Oreochromis niloticus: one gene and its partner. The protein of the gene in region 2 interacts with the protein of the main gene of each other region in a biochemical or structural test. Links are inferred from orthologs where the notes say so. Each region holds a gene or a part of one and is shown on either strand. Other genes may lie near its edges.

Region 1 (9,275 bases), on a different chromosome or scaffold from region 2:
CGCGGCGTGCCTGCGGGGCACGGGCCTGTCCTGATCTGCTCACACCTCATTAGCAGGCGGCTAATCAGCTGGCCCGGGTTAAAAGTGGGTTTAATTAAATCTGCGGCTCGCCTGAAGAGTCTGAGGTGTCTGGGTCCGCCCAGCGGCGAACACACAAACACACCTGTCTGGACGGGCCACTCCGACAGGTGGCGGGAGGGGGTTCGTCCTGCGCACACCTCCACCTTTACACAGTTTCAACACAACAACATGGTCTTGCTGTCATATCAGCAGCAGGATGGATGCCCCAACTTCCTGTCAACGCCCTGATTAAAGCTTCAAATCTTCAGCGTGAAACTAAAAGAAAACACGCTGATAATTTTCAAAAATAAACACATAATGTATAGATTTTTACACTCTGACACTGCTGGAGGCCCCGTGATTGTCAATACTGTCAAATAAACAAGTGGTTTTATTTTTACTTAAAGATGTCCTATTAACAGGTTTAAGTCCATCTGTTCAGAGTCTAAACTTGAGATTTTCTGAAGTGGCGTGAAATGAGTTTAGAGGTTTATTTTCTCATTTAACACCAATCAGCTGTGACGTGTATTAAAGATGTGCACACAGCCACTGTTTCCATTTCCAGTGAAATTAGCATTTTGTTCTGCTTCGTCAGGGCCGAGCGCTGCCGGCTTCAGCCGTTAAAGGCTTCGGGCAGCCACTGATATGGCAGGAGACCAAGGTTTAACATGCACCGCCTCTGCAGGAAAGACTCCGCGATTCAGACCCAAAAATTAAAAGTGTGCAACTCAAACATGTTAATAAAACCACCCAGTAAAGGATAATTGTGTCTGTGTGTGTGTGTCTGTAACCCTAACCCTCCCTCTGTTTTCACTCAGAGTCAGATATAAAAGTGTTTTTCCATTTCTGATCTTAAACAACACGAGTCATGAAAAAACAAAACAAACACACACACACACACACACACACACACACACAAACAGAACTGTGCTTAAAACATCAACATGTAGTGAATGTACTTAACAATAAAAACACTTTTGTTTTACAAACTCTTTGTAGAAGAACAGAAGAAAATACACATCCTGAAAAAGGGAATTTTAGCATTTACAAGTCCATCCTGTGGCTGCGGAGCACTCAGCGATGGCCACGGCCGTCTTCATCAGACTGAACCGGGGGTTTTCCGCCACCAGGAAGAGGAAATGCAGGAAATGTGTGGTGATTTTTTTTTTTTGTTCCAGAGAATCCTGACAGATGACGACTCAGTTTATACGAGTTCACATCGCATCACGTTCCCCCAAATCAATGAGTCAATCAGAGGAGCGATGACACAGCTGGAGGCTTCCAGCCAAACATCACAGACTAACTGGCTTTCAATTTTAAAAGTCACACTTCAGTGGATCTTTTCAATTTTTAAAAGATATTTCCAGAAAACATGTTTTAAGCTTTTTCTTCTAAAATGATTCCAGCTGTTCTGGGTAGACGGTGGGAACACTGGCGGTTATTTTGGCGAACTGGATGATGATGGTGTTGAATTATTAAGAGGTTAAATAAAAACTGATAATCAGAAAAAAAAAAAAAGCCATGAAGAAGAAGTGGGGCCTCGTTCCCAAAGGGAGAAGCTTCCACAAAAGCTGCAGATATTCAACATCCTGGTGGTTACCCTCCTCACTGCCCATTGGTGGAGGTACTGTTGGGGGCGGGACTGGAACCCTCCGCGCCTGCCGACGGCTGGACGTTGTCAGCCAGGTTGTGAGCGTGCTCCAGGAAGAGGTCTTTGAGCACGCTCAGCTCTTTGCTCAGCAGTTTAATCTTTGCCTCGAGCCGCTCGTTCTCCTCCTTCAGCTCGTTTACGCGCTGTTGCGTGTCCATCGCCTTCTGCTTGCTGCGCATGCGGCTCTTCTTCACTGCCAGGTTGTTGCGTTCGCGCCGCTGGCGGTACTCCTCGCTGTCCTTGTCTGCAGGGGGTTTCTTCATCTTGCTGGGGGCGAGGGCTTTGCCACCTCCGGTTGAAGGGTTTGCTGGGACGAGTTGTGGGACCTGCTGCAGTCCGGCTACGGCTGCCGGGAGGGACGAAGAAGCAGCGTGGGCCTGGCTCTGGATGACACTCACGCCGTTGTGGTCAGTTGCAGTTAGTTTCGGCTGCGACGGCCGGCTCATTTGGATGTGCTGCCAACAGGTGCTGATCTTTGACCAGAGTCTCCTCAGGTGTAGAGCTGAATAGAAGACTAGAAGCAAAGAAGATGGTCCTGCAGATGGACAGAGCCTGGAGGGTGAGACAGACCAGATTAATTGAGCACATCACACAGAATCAAAGCAAACACTAAGCTACAGACTAGCCATGGACAACACCACACATGTAAGAAGACAAAGAAGTCAGAGACAGCTGTGTGCAGATGTTTCTGTCCACGCGTTTGGAGTGGAGGCCTCAGCTGAACCACAGTACGTCCCTTTCACTGACTTTATTTGGTATTTTAATAAGTAAAGTACTGGTGACTTTTTATCATCTACATGAAAGAACAACACCATCTGATTAGGGTTAGGGTACCTAACGTCAGAGGTTCCGGTCTTTGCTGGCTTCCTGTGCGCTGACAGGAAGTGAAAAGCGTCCTGGTGGTCTTTGATATCATACAGCTGCATCTCGAGACTTGTGCGCATCATTTTGATCTGTTATTTTTTTCTCCACTCTTCTTCCTCTATGCAGTGAACCTCCTGTCGATCTCTTACTGTTCAAGCCCACTTTTTAACCAAATCAACATTCTACCTGAGCCTAACACATCACTCACCTGCAAGCATGTCTGTGCTGGTTGAATATCCCATATCAATTCACTAATCAGACGCCTACGCAAATGGGCACAAAGGCGGTATTATGGATTCTGCTTTGGCGTCTTTCGGTGGCTCCACCAGTGGATGCAGGCTCTGGTCCTGCTAAATATGAGCTTCACAGTGCAAACACTGAACATTTGTCAGACTTGATAGCTTTTTGATTTCACTCTGCAGCTCTGCGCCAGAAATGTTCAGGGATTTTTTAAATTTTATTTCTGCAACGAAAGGACTGACAAGCCATTTTAATGTGTTTCTATCATTTCTGGAAGGTGGAAGTCAGTCAGTCAGTCAAAGTTCCAGCTCTGAACATCATTTCCTCACTTTCCTAGCGTTCTTCTAGCTCCAGTTAGGAGGCTTCATCATCACCATCTTCTTCCTCCTACTCCATCACTGCGATACCATAATTGTTCAGATTGTTATTCCGCACGGCCAATTAGTAGCGCCGCTCTGATTGGCTGGGGCGTTGCTATGCAGCCAGTCAGCTGTGCGCAGCGGAAAGCGCTCCGGGTGAAACAGCGGAGAGGTTGCCTGTTGTTGCATCATCACGAGCGGCTCTCTTTGTGTGAAGACAGGGGAACTCCAGAGTCATGCGGGGCTACACACAAAACCACCGCTTTCTGGTGACTTCACCGACGTGTGACAAATATGAAAACACACGAAACAGATCAAAACAGGCGGACTGATCCGAAACACGTCGCTTTAAAGTACCCAAACTTTAATTTTCGAACACTTTGACAACTTTCTGTTCACTCGAAGCGACCAACAGGCAACTCACCGACTCACCACTGACCGTCGAGCTTTCCCGATCTGAGACAGGCGTCGATTTAAGCCTAGTTTGGCCCGAAACACGACAGCTTTCTTTTAACGAACGCGAACACTGCCTGTTTAGCCGGGCGCATAGCCAGCTAGCGGGTTAGCTCCTGTCGCTAACAGCCATCAGTTCACTGCCAGCTTCGCTGTTTCGAACCTACAGAGAAAGAAAACTACGATTTTACCTTCACTGGGAGGCGGCGGGCTCAACCGTCCGTCAAAAGATGAGAAAGTTTCCCTAGAAAACCGAAGTTTAATCCCGTCCGTATGAGCTCGGACTGTTTTTGTTTGTAACATGGAGAGCGACCGATTGCGAAATCTCTTTTACCATGTACGGCAATGTCCAGGATGAGCTAATCACAGGCGAGTAGGTGGCAGCGAGTGGGGCGCTTGGCCAATCACCGATGAGTGTGCGGCGGAGTGATGCAATGCTCTTTGTGATTGATTCGTGTTTGGACCAATGAGACGCTGCTATCTTCTCTCGGCGTTGTTTATGTAACCGAGGCTGGTCAGATGAGTTGAAACACGTATGACTTCATCTCTGAATGACGAGACTCACTCTCAAAGCGGCCGTACCTTCAGTAACGACGCTCCCGCTTCCTTCAGTCACTATAATAACTATTGTGATGTCCGTGTGTACGAAGAAACCCCTTAAAACAGCTGGAGAACATTCACAGGTGACACAAGCACTTAATGAAACCGCGGTCCTGCCAGGAACACACAAAAACAATGTAATTACTGTTTTAATAATAATAATGGATTGGATTTCATATAGCGCTTTTCAAGGCACCCAAAGCGCTTTTATTTATAATAATCGTGACCAGAGAATATAAATGAAGGGATGTATAGACAAAGACCCCGAGATGTCAGAGGTCACCTGGACCTGAGCCCCAAACAAACAAAAACAAAAGATCAACTTCAAAAGGTAAAAAAAAAAAAAAAAAAGACAAAAACCCCAAATATTAAAAAAGCGGGTGATAAAAGTGATAAAAAGAAGATACAAACCCACAACAAACAGACAAAAATTTATCCTGACAGCACTTTTCTCTCAGGCTGTGGTTACATGTGGTTTCTAGAGTTTCCAAAAGTGGAATGGGAGGCAGAGCCTACAGCTTCAGGCCTCTTCTGTGGAACATTAGGCTACGTTCACACTGCAGGTCTTAATGCTCAATTCCGATTTTTTGATCAAATCCGATTTTTTTGTCTGCTTGTTCACACTACACATAAAATGCGACATCAAACGCTCTCCAGTGTGAACGCTCAAAGCGGCCCGCATGCGCAAAAGAAGATGTCACACAACTCGCTCTGTTTAGACCCAGAGCAAACAATATTGTTTGACTGATGGCCCTTAATATAAAGACTTCGGACTTTACGTTTCCAGATTTTTGCTTTAAGTTATTTTGTTATTTACATAATAATGTAGATAACCTAATAATGATCCTTTTTGCTGTTTTAGAGGAGCGGTGCTTCAAAGGATAGTTGCAGATTTCTGTCAGAATCTGCAGAAAATACAGTAAAAATAAAATGTTCACATTTCTCCAACGTTGTCTTCCCAACAGTTTCACCGGATGGTAGGAAATCGTTCGCGATGTCCTATCGGGCGCTTCTCCGGCGCTGATAATTGGCGTCTGTCTTGTGTCAGTGACGTAAAAGACGGATTTAATGCGACTTGACCGTTCACACAGCAGTCGCTTTCTAAAACATCGGATACGTATCGGATTCAGTACCACATACGAAAGTGACCCAGATCGGATTTGAAAATATCGGATTTGTGCCGTTCACACTGTCAGACCAAGATCGGATACGGGTCGCATAGGGGCGAAAAAATCGGATTTGATGCGCTTTCGCCTGCAGTGTGAACGTAGCCTTAGATTGCAGTGCAACTTTCAGCTTTCACTTAACAAAACTTGTGCATTGACTGTCATTTTAATACATAGCTTCCCATTTCCAGAGGCTCCTAAGTGTAAATATTAGGATGGATTTTAATAACTGGACAAAAATCCTTTGCACCGGGTGGCTACCTAAAGTCTAGAAACCACGCCACAGTTCATCCTGCTGCTTATACTGGCAGCCACATCATGAATAAACACCCATGACCCGGTTCAACTGCAGCCATACATGCCCAGGCCATCATTCTTAAACAACCATCATCTGTCCCAAGATCTTTTTCAGGCTCTTTTAGATGTTTACTGACAGTCTGACCTGTTGTAAACTTTCTGTATTTCCATTTGCAAATGCATCATTTAATTATCAGTCTTCATTGTGACTCTGCCCCCTCCTTGTGAGCTTGACTGGGTCTGATGTTGTAAAGGTATTTTCTTAATCATGGAAATAATTCTGTCATCATGCACTGTAGGTGTTTTCTATGCTCTTTCAGATCTTTTGGTGTTGCTGAGCTGGTCAGTGCGTTCTTTCTTTTAAACAATGCACCAGATTTTTGATTTGGCCAATACCAAAGTCTTTGCTGTTTATTTGGGCTTTTCAGCGGAACGATGGCCTCCCTCACTTCCACTGAGATGCCACATTGAGAAGTCCAGCTATCAAATGCAATTTCAACTCTTGGACTTAACAACAGATTTTATATCTGACTATTTCACATGACATAAGATGACAACAGGCCTCATATGACCATGAAGCAGCTTGTCAGTCAATTGTCCTGTGAAAGTCAGTACTGTGCATAAAATGGCTGTAATTCCAGTACAGTTAGTTCAGTACTTTTGGTAAATCCCCCCAAATTAAAGCTGAAAGTCTGTGCTTCATTTTTTAAATTCACTGTTGTGGTGTACAGAGGCAAACAACCCCCCCAAAAAAACAGTCACTGTCCAACAACTTTTGGACTTAACTGTATAAATGAAATTGAGCTGGACTGAAAGCAGCCACAAAGACACACACAACATGAGGTTTGGTAATAGTGATGCCTGGTCACGTGACCAAACATTGCATTGCTCTCACTAGGCGCTGCATCCAAACTGTGCTGATGTCTGGAAATATGCTGTGAATGTTGGCCAGCTGTCCATGTGGAATTCGAAGCTGTCACTCATGACTCCAGTGCAGTGTTTGCTTTTTTGGTAAACTGCTTTCTCAGGTCTGATTGGTTAATGTCAACTTAAATTCAAATCACATTGCTTCTGGAAACAATGTGATTTTTAATTTTTTTTACTGTCCAACCACACTGTTGCTGCAGAAAATGTGTACAGGACCACTAATGCTGCAACACTGATAGCACTGGTGACAATGGTGTGATGTCATTGAGGTCAGGGCTGCCTCAGCTCAACAGAGAGTCACCAGTGCTGTTAAAATGAAAGTAAAGTCACTGAAAACAAATGAAGGCTGAATGCAGTATTAGGAATCGCTCGTGTGATCGAAGAGGTCAAAGGTCCACGTGCTGGCCTGATCTGAGGTACCCTCGCACCGTGCTGACAGCTGAGCTGCAGTGAAGCAAACAAAAGCTCTTCAAATATTTGTCTGAGCGTTTTTGTGTATTCTAGTTTGTGTTTAACATGCTGACTTTGAAGTTTAGGAACATCACACTTATTTTTTCCAGTTTTAAACTTTTTTAATTATTATATTGTTTCCTTAAAAACACATGTTCCTCCAGATCATTTCAAGGACCCTTGGTACTTCCTTCTGAAAGTCTCTGGCCTGAAGAGCTTCCCAGTGCAACAGAAAATGTTGTTCACATTTTCCCAGCTGAGTCCGTCAACACTAGTTTTAAAAGTCAGACCCTGAGGACCACTAAAGCTTCCTCAAGGTTGCTTAAAAATTCCTCAAATGAACCAAAGATGCCCCCCGAAGGATTCTCTATTCCAACATCCTCAATGTGAACCTCATTTATAAGCCACTGATTTTATTCTCAGTGCTACTGTTTCCAGCTGCCCTTTCCTAAATCACTTTTATGGCAGCAGTTACAAAAAGGACAGAAGTCGCGCTGGGCTGTCAGAAAGAAGCAGATTATTGTCTTCAAATGGAGGTCAAGCAAAAACCTGTAAAAATATACGCATGGAATAAAAATACAAAATAAACAAGCAGCTTTAAATCGCTCCCAACACGAAGATCTCTCTGTTTGCTGCTCACAGAGGGCGCTGCAGTCCTGCTCTTCAGTCCGCCGTCCCTGCCCCCACTGCTCCGCGCTGCTCACCCGTCCTCATCCAAGCAGATTCCCCAAGTCACATCTAACATTGTAAGCAGGTCATAATAAATATGCCTCAGTGTTGGATCTTCCTGACTTAGAATTTGGAAATAAAAATACATTACAATAAGAAAAGAAGTTATTTCTTGCAGGGACTTGACGGTATATATTCATATTATAATGAAGTAATGACAGGTTTTTGCATCAGTGCGCATTCTATTTAACATCAGACGTGTTCTAAGTCCAGAAGATGTTCACGACTTTTATAACTTGCACATAAAGTCTGTGCGTCCTGCTCTGATAGGTGCCGCTCCCTCCTTTCAGAGATAAAGTCTCCCGGTGTAGACTGCCCGGGGATTAAAGAAAAGAATTTAGTTCTTTTAAAACAGGTTTTCAAGCTGATCGTGTTACGCGCTGAACACCAGCGCGCTCGGTCTAGAAGAGCGTCTGAAATCCAGAGCATTTATTAATTTTTGTCAATATTTGTTTTTGTAAACATATATATATATATGTATATATATATATATATATATATATATATATATATATATATATATATTTAATGTGACTTTTGCGGACCGACTCTAACTGCTCCGGGTGGTTTCAGCGTGTCTTCACCAGCCTGAGCTTTGGCGCTGATGTGTGAGCAGAGCGCGCAGAGAGGAGCGCAGGACGCTGTGTGTGATAAAAGTTTGAGTCGAGTTTGACTCTGAAGCGTTCCCGTGCAGATAGCTGGCAAGACTGAGGGCTGTGTGTGCGCGCGCGCGGGCACGTGTGCCCGCCCACTCCCTCTCCCTCTCTGTATATAACAGCAGTTTGACAGCTCGGAGTTTACTGAGCAGGAGGAATCAGCCCAGCAGAGTTAAGCCTGAAGCTGCTTCATTCCGCTTCTTTCCGCGTACAAACGGAGCCACTGCAACCGTCACAGTCTCTCCGAGCTTTGGGTCAGCGCATGCTTGCAGCTGTGTAACCCCCTCTCACCTTAGTACCCGACTTTGTGCAACCTGGATTCCCGGAGCTCATCGCCATGCCTGCCCGGGTTTAGATTCTCAATGGAGCTCTCTAACCTGTACGAGGTCGCACCTCGACCCCTGATGAACAGCCTGAACCAGCAGCCCTCCTCCGGCTACAGAGACCCGGCAGATCTTGGCGGTGAGATCGGAGACAACGAGACCTCCATCGACCTGAGCGCCTACATCGACCCATCAGCGTTCAACGACGACTTCCTGGCTGACCTGTTCCACCACAGCTCCCGACAGGACAAGCTCAAAATGATGAACGGGGAGTACGACCCGGTGACTTGCGGCCCGGGGCCCCAGCAGCTCTACATGTCCAACTACATGGAGTCTAAGATGGAGCCGCTTTACGAGCACAATCCTCCACGCCTCCGACCGGTGGCTATCAAGCAGGAGCCCCGGGACGACGAGGACATGAACCCGGGCATGCCCCCCACCTACCACCACCCGCACCCACACCCCCAGCAGTACTCCCAGCAGCAGCAGCAGCAGATGCC
Region 2 (8,271 bases):
AACGGGAGCAAAGAGCCCTGCTGACAAACAATGGAGAGCTTCTCTGAAACATTGCTTTGTTTCTCTGATTGGCCTTGGGGATTAAAGCCAAGCCACAACCACTTAAAGCCATTGTCGTGAACATAGAGTACAACAATGTCTTATTTAAATGTGGGTGTAGCATTCTTCGTGGGGTGATGTGCTGGAAAGGGAGGATATTGCACAACAGTTAAAAGCTAAACTGTTCATCATGGAGTGTGTTGAAATATCCTAAATGTCATCTCTCACTGCACACAAACAGCATCACATAGTTTTTATGCTTCATTAAGAGGAGATAAAGTGAGTTTTTCCCCTCGTTTTTCTCTTCAGTGTCAGTGTAGTACATGTGTCACTTCTTAAAAAAGAAAAAAAAACTAACAGAGGCACTTTTCACTCGCCTCACTTTTCTTTGCTGTTTGAGGAAAGAGTTGAAAAACATTCCCCACCCTGAATTGTCATAGATATCCTTTAAAATCCCACCGTGCTCCCTTTTCTTTATCTGCTCAGTCTGGGATTTGCTTGCTTGTGACAGATATGTTTCATATTGTGCACACAGTGAACTGCCTTGTCAGGGCTTGGTAAATTCCACTGCAGACCGTTTGTCAACTTATCGTGTCTGGTGTAGCTAACCTACTACCATTTTTTTAAAAACTTCTACATTTTTCCTTTTTCCTGACTTGAGGGTTAAAATAAGGTTTGCGCTCGCTGCCAGCCAGATCTTGGCTGTTGAAATGTGACCTCAGGTTGTGCGAGGAGGTTAGTTGCTGATTAATTTCCATGCAACCTTGAACCCCTCTCTGGGGCAGTGGACCCTGCAGACTATTGACAGAGCAGTGTGCTAAAGATAAAGCCATTTCTGTGCTGCGTGCAGTGTGACCAAGTCTTTTTTTATGCTTTTTGCTGCCCTCAGCAGTATCGTTTCATCATAAATTGCCTGGATGTATTTCAGGATATGAGAACTTTTCTTCCAATCATTAAGTAAACAGAAGTGCTACAGCTTTCAGATTTACCCAAAGAGCATTTTTTTTTCTTAATTTTCAGGAATAAAAATCATCTTTCTATTTTATTTGTCAATTTTTCTCTATTTACCTTCTGATCAAACCACTGGGTGCCATTTTCTGCTTCATGAATACACCACATGAGCAAATACTTGAAATATAATGTAATGTTTCTTTCTTTTGTTTTTTTTTAAATGTCCTCCATCTCCAAGAAGAAACGTCAAATTCCTGCTCCGTGTTTCTTTTGGGGTGTATTTCAGTACGCAGGCCTCAATTAAAAGATTAGGAATATGCTTTGCCGCTGAGCCAGTTTCTTATCTGCAATATGTTGTAAGAGAAATATGTGGTATTACACAGTCAGTCTATGATGAGTGTGAGCATTAGACAAGCAAACGCCCCTTTCTGTCTGTCTGAGCCTTCACCTGCCTCAAAGGGACAAAAAAAGGAGATTTACAAGTGAAATTGTTTAAACAAAGTATAAATCTGTTTAATTCAATAAAATATCAAGTACAATTAAAGCATTTCACCTTTCAATATTAAATAATTAGACTTATTTCATTCATTGCCAATACTATTACAAAGAGTTGCATCATTTCACTGCAGCACAACTCTTCCCTTGACAACCACTGCTCCAGATACACACAAAAAATGTAGAAATTCACTCGCATGTATGTAAAACCTGCACAGAAATACTGCATACACACACACAAAAAGAAAAAAAAAAAATCACATCTGAGAATAAAGCTAAGGTGACATGTGAAGAGTCGTGAATGATTGCGCAATACATGCACCCACTCCTTCAGTCCCATTCAAAGTGTCCTTGTAAACTGGTGGTCGCCGTCTTCACCTGTGAAGCGTACCGTTTTCAGCACAGTGGATTCCCTTTCGGCTCTAAAGTCCACCGATGATCAGACAACAGCACGGAGATCCGTGCAGAGTCTCCGGTGTGTGAATGTGTGTGTGTGTGTTTTAACACTGTCCGGTGGCAGAGAGCAGGTTGCGCAGGGTGGCCAGCTCTCTGGACAGCTGCTCCACTCGCTTTTGTAAACGATCGTTCTCTGCGGCCAGTTCCAGCACTTTGTGTTGAGTCTCCAAGTTGCGCATTTTGGCTTTGTCCCTGCTCTTCCTCACGGCGAGGTTGTTCCTCTCCCGCCTCAGCCTGTACTCTTCACTGTCCTTGTCCAGGCGTTTCTTTGACTTCCCGCTGGACATTTTGCCACTGTGCGATGGTGATCTGCTTTTACCTGACGGGGCAGGTGTGCCGGGCGGGCTGGAACAAGTCGAGGACGCAGTGGAGATGTTTCCGAGACTACCACTAGTGGACTGGTAATGAATGTAGGACCTCATGTCAAAAGCAGACGAGCCGTTCTCCATCTTTGCGTCTTCCTGACTGTCTTCTCTGTCGGCGGCAACAGCAGCAGCAGCAGCTCTGTAGCGGCTCCCGAGTTCAGGGCTCAGCACGCTATCCACGCGGGTTTCCTGCAGCTCCGGGTAACCTAGCGCGTAGGGCTCCCTGGGGTCCCTCAGGTTGTCGCACTGGCTCGTCTCCAGCTCGTTCAGTAGCGAGTAGTTCTTGTAGTTCTGCAAAGCTGCAACTCTTCTCTTGTTCTCTGCCAAGAAATCTGAGAAAACGTCCCCCTGCTGCTGCTGCGTCTGCGCCGCCAGCTGCGGGTAGTGCAAAGCTGAGTCCAGGTAAACACTGAAGTCTATCGCTCTCTCCCGCTCTTCAATGCCCAGCTCCGTCATCGAGTCACCGAGCCTCCAATATGAGCCGCCGCCGATGGGGCTGATAACGCTGTCTCTACTGTGGATAGCAAAGCTGCCCTCCTCGTAGAAGCCGGCCACTTCCATGGATCTTAACACCCGCCGGATTGCAGAAGCATGGAGGGCTGAGGTGAGACGCCCTGAGTGGTTTGGGTTGAGCTGTGAAATGCGTCTGAATGTGGTGAGTCTATAGCTCCCGTGACAACATGCAGTAAACTACTTTGAAGAACTTGTGCTCATGGAGTGAGAGGAATTGACAGGTTCTTCCTGTCTCGGGGGGTTTTATTTTTTCTAGCAAGGGGCGGAGTTCAGGTATGTGACGTGCAAGGCAAGTGGACAACCTGTGCTGTTTTTCGAGGATCTTTGGCACACTGAACTGCGTTTGAACACAATAAAAAGTGAACTTAAGCACTTAAGCGGTTTTTTCTCTCTTTCTCCCCCTTCCCTGTTTGTTTGGTGGTATTGTGGCACTTGGCTACAGCAGGAGTGTCAAGATAGGAAATGCAATCATTTGTATGATTTTAAAACAAACGAAACTTAACTTAAAAAGCAAAATAAAAGTGAAAATATAAACGCACAACGGTGAGTACCTAACCAAGAGCGCAATAACGAAACAAAACCATACGTTAGGAATTCTTTGAGTGTTTTGACATCGGGTCCCTTCACGCCCTCTACAGTCAGATCTCATCAACTCGACAATAATGGAAAAATTCCACTCGGCATGTTTACCATTTTCTAACTTCGTGCGTAATCGTCTCATAACAACGATACTCATAAGCGCAGCCCCTGACAGCTGTTTCCTTTGAGCTGACTAGATTAAACCAGTATGCTGTTCTGTGGTAGACCCCTACAAGATGATACATCTCTTCCAGCACTGTATCAGGGTCAAGGTGGGTGTAATGAGAAATTTAGTGAGTTTGGTTTATGACAGTCCAGTGGGTCCACGGCTGAACCCAGGCTCACTGTGCAAATATGTCACTTCTCCCAGAACATACAATCTAGAATAAAGCCCAACATCCCAGTGTTACCAGTCACACGTGGCCTCTGAATTGGATTTACAGTCAGCACTCTCTGTTTTCTTAGACATGCAATTCCGATAAGGAAAGAATTCCCAAAAAAGGTCCTATGATGGAGAACCGGAGATGGTGGTGGTGGTGGTGGTGTGTGTGTTGGGGTGGTGGGGGGATCGACTTGTAAGAAACCCGAGATGCTGTGTGAACAGTACACAAAAGCAGCAAAGTTAAGAGACATAGTTATGGATTAAGTCTTACTGCCACCTTCTGGTGACAAGAGTCATTATAACTGACTCAAAACCGAGGTTTTGAGTTCCTGGCCAACATCCAATCTGATCTCAAGTAGGCCGGAGCTGTTAAATCACTGAATAATAACGTATACACATTTTCTCTCTGAGTATAAACACACTGTGAAAATTTTTTTACATTCAAAAGAACTATCCACTTGTTTCAAGTTTACTAAAATAAGATTTATGTAAAAGGACAGACTTTTACACACACCCATAGCTGAGTGGTTACTAATTTGTGAAACACTTTGGCTGCCTCTTTTTAAAAACCTATCTATCACCGTTTCCCCACATTATTAGGTACACTTCTTCTACAGCTAGGACAAATATTTAATCCGCCAATCACATGGCGGAAACTGGGCGCATTTACCGTAAAAATCTCATTTATGTCTCTTTTTCAGATTAAAGGGAACCTGTTATACTAATTCCAAGCTTTGTATTTTCATGTTTGGACTGCTACTAGAGAAGTCTCCCTTCGCCCACTGTCTGAAACAAGCTGTTTAGCTTCCTTCTCGCTCGACTTAATCCAACTTTCTTCTGATTGGCTGTTCCTGGTAAATATTTGAATATCAGGGGTGAGGTTGAGAAGACCATATAAGGATTTCCCCTGGTACCGACGTCATCAAGACTAAGAAGAACTGTCTGAAGTATGAGCTTTTGGCTCCCAGTGACTGTTTGTGCATACACTGACATATTTGTAGCAGAATACACACTTACTGACCACTTTATTAGGTACACCTGTTCAACCGCTCGTTAACGCACACATCTAATCAGTCAGTGTATTTATGCATGTAGACATGGTCGAGATGACCTATTGAAGTTCAAACTGAGCATCAGAATGTGGAAGAAAGGTGTTTTAAAATGACTTTAAATGTGGCTGGTCTGAATATTTCAGAAACTACTGATCTACTGGGATTTCCCACACAAACATCTCTAGGTTTGAATTTTTCCTCTTTGGGGATCAGAGGGATTACCTGTCACATGTTATTTTAAATCTTATAATGTGTCACATTATTTTTTAAATAACCAATGAACCGTTAAGACACCTTACCTGAGCATATACTGGCAACCTCATACGCAGCTGAAGCATCACAGGTGACAGATGTAACTGTAACACCTGTTCCTGTTTTCAGCAGTGACGTGGCACTTGCTCAAGATTTGGGGTCAACAGAGGAATACCTGAAGGATTTAGCAGCTTAACACTTTTGTTGATTATGTTTGCCGAGATGCTGTCTATGATTACACATAGTTGCAGTGAAGGCTTAAGTGTGATGAAAAAACAGATTACAAAAGGTCAGATTTCTCAGAGTGCCTAACATCCAAGATAAAAAACAAACACACATAGATCTACAGTGCATGATATGATAATAGAATATCAACATGATCATCAAAACTGAGAACACTGTCCAAAATGGTAAAATTCCTGTTTTTCACACTGTATTTCAGAGAAAGGGATGACAAATATGATCACATTTTTCTGTCTCTGTGTTGTTTCTGTTCTAAAAGGTTTGGAGGCATCCAGCAGTTAATGTCATCAGTGCAGGTAAGATCATCAGAGGAAAATGCTGAGTACAAATGTACATCATCTGTGTAGGAATGGCAGGATATATTATGATTCTTTATGATAGTAACAAGCAGAACCATGTAAAGGTTAAGGAGTAAGGGACCGAGGACAGACCCTTGAGAAACCCCAGTTGAATTTATCTTATTCTGTGGATCTAAAACCACTAACTGATACATAAAAAGTTCTATAGGTGTGAAGTTTTTATGTCCTGTTAAAACCAACTGAGTCATGAAGGTTTTGGTTTAAAATTTCACGATGTGTCAAAAAAGTGAGATGACACAACCCTCTTTCTGAAAAATGAACTCATTAACTCCCTTTTACCTTCCATGTGATCAACCACTTCCCCAAAGCCTCAGGTCTCTAGCTGAATATAAATAAATGTGAGATACTGGCTCTGCATGAGTCCCCCCTGCAGTCAAGATGTAATACACATTTAAAAGGAAATGAAATGTTATGGATTTATACGGATGAGATAGGAACAGAAAATAGGAATATTTGTGTTGGTATAAGAAATATAAACCAGTTCAAAATATTCATTTTAAACTGATTGCTGCAAAGGGACATAGCAAAACAACAAAAGCAGCTTTCAGCTACTCTGTTGCCACATAGCACCATGTGTTTGATTTGGCATAGGTTTTTAATGCTTATTTATTTATTTATTTATTACAACAGATGTGCTTATGGACACACACTCCAAAATGGATGGCTGTTTCTGGCTTTAATTGAGCCAGCCAAATTTTCTTGCTAAGCAAACGTGTTAACCGCTACACCATTGGAGGCATAAATGTAACATTAGTAAGTGATATGGTTAAAAATTATAAAGATGTTGGGGCTAATGCCATTGTTTTTTATATTACGAATAGTACTTCAAACTGAGATGGTTTAGAGCCTTGATTCTGAACAGACACTACTTTTGATCATTATTCCCAGTGTGATTTTTGGAAAAAGGGGTCAAACAGATTTCTATCAGCAGGTCATTCTCTACTGGAAATGAATCTATAGCCATATTTTTTGTCCACACAACACACCTGCGTGGAACACCAGATGCATTAGACTTGGTACGATATCTGTGTACGGATGTAGCTCATTTTATGGATTGGAAAGGTAATCTATTACAGCCTGAGGTGTACCGAGAAAAGTTCAAGTTAGGATGCACTGCTAAGAGCTATAAAACATTGACAAGAGCCATCTAGGTCCCTCTGAGATCAATGATTAAAGAAGACATTGTGTACTCTAGGACTTCTCCCAGACTGACAATAATTGACTTTTGTCATAGTAGGTGTACAAACAAAGTTATCAGAAATATTTTATTAGACGAAATGTATCATAACCCAGTAAGAAGGAATTATATTCTGAGGAAGTTCAGGTGTTACAGAGAAATATGTTTCACTTCCTCTCCTAAATGAGATTTACCCAACTAATGAATACATAAAGCTGAAATTTTATTTGGATGTGAACTCTGGTTTAAAAAAGATATTGAAAGTGTGGACCTCATGATTCTATTTTTATTAATTTAATTTCTAGAACTACGTGTGAAGCTGGCTGCAGTCCAGGCTGCTTCAATGCCCACACATAACAATGATTTTAATTAAATTTGGAATTATTATCAATCAATCCTAAATTGGATTCCATTATCTGGATTGTGGTATTATTAGGGAAGTCTTTTATTCACAAATACTTGCATTCAATTTTAAATTTAAACCATGCATAAACATGGCTGGTTATTTTAAGTTTAATGCACTGTTTGAGTGTCTAGTTTCTTTCTTTTGTACACCCGGTTTTGTACATAAATATTCTTAGTGCCTTATTTGACTGTGTGGTTGTTCATAAAGAAAGTTGTCTAAAAAGTCCGCTTCCCGTTAATTCCATTGCACAGATATTGGCTGCAACTCACGTAGAACACCAGGAGAGGGCGCTCAAGATAGTGTTGAGGGAACAAGTGACTGAAGTAAATGCATTTACAAATACTTATAAGACAGAAAATGCCGCATATAATTTCAGTTTTCACTAAACGGTATCAATAGTGCGTTCGCGCTGAAATAAAAGTTCATTTTTTTCTTACAGGAGACCATAATTTACAGCTAAAATTCTAGCATTCTGCCAATGTTGCTGATTGGTTAGTTAAGGATTTACGACAGGATAGACTCCCTTGACGATACCCATTAATAAGCCTCTACTAGTAAGGAACCTTTGCTTTAGAAGCGTATTTATATTACCACAGAAACTTACGTGTGTGTAAAACAAAATAAAACAAATAAGTACATTATTTGTGGTCTCCGTGGCTGCAAGCTTCATGCCTGAAATGAAAATGTCATATACCGTACCGTAAAGTGGCACATAGTGCGGTGACCTACCCAAAGTAGAAAGAAATGTAAGATTTTTTTTTTTAAGGAATAGCTGTAAATTGTGTCAGCGCCTTAAAACATTATTGACCCTAGTGAAGGTTACTGTTTACTGCACTAAATTTGCATTAGTGTTTCCTGCTCACTGTTTTCTACAGTCAATGTTCTGGACTATCACGGGCACGAGCAGAGCGGGTTCCAGACAGGACGGGTGGGGTCAGGAAATTCGATCGCGCCCCTCGCAGCCCCCTTGCCTATTGGTCACTTGGCTGCCTGTGAAGTAAC

Evidence for each region.
Region 1: the proteins of cebpb (region 2) and cebpg form a complex in vitro, tested with the Homo sapiens proteins (2 studies listed by BioGRID and IntAct, with this or other methods). The link is inferred for Oreochromis niloticus from reciprocal best matches to the Homo sapiens genes CEBPB and CEBPG.

What each region holds. Positions count from the first base shown.
Region 1 is NC_031965.2:37,664,709-37,673,983, forward strand, and holds the start of cebpg (CCAAT/enhancer-binding protein gamma), read right to left. Parts: upstream 3,980-9,275; 5' UTR 3,819-3,979; intron 2,264-3,818; 5' UTR 2,158-2,263; coding exon 1,666-2,157; 3' UTR 1-1,665. Other genes in the region: cebpa (CCAAT/enhancer-binding protein alpha), read left to right, coding at 8,815-9,275. UniProt on the Homo sapiens protein: Transcription factor that binds to the promoter and the enhancer regions of target genes. Binds to the enhancer element PRE-I (positive regulatory element-I) of the IL-4 gene. Binds to the promoter and the enhancer of the immunoglobulin heavy chain.
Region 2 is NC_031984.2:10,007,462-10,015,732, reverse strand, and holds cebpb (CCAAT/enhancer-binding protein beta), read right to left. Parts: upstream 3,049-8,271; 5' UTR 2,868-3,048; coding exon 1,986-2,867; 3' UTR 1,479-1,985; downstream 1-1,478. UniProt on the Homo sapiens protein: Important transcription factor regulating the expression of genes involved in immune and inflammatory responses. Also plays a significant role in adipogenesis, as well as in the gluconeogenic pathway, liver regeneration, and hematopoiesis.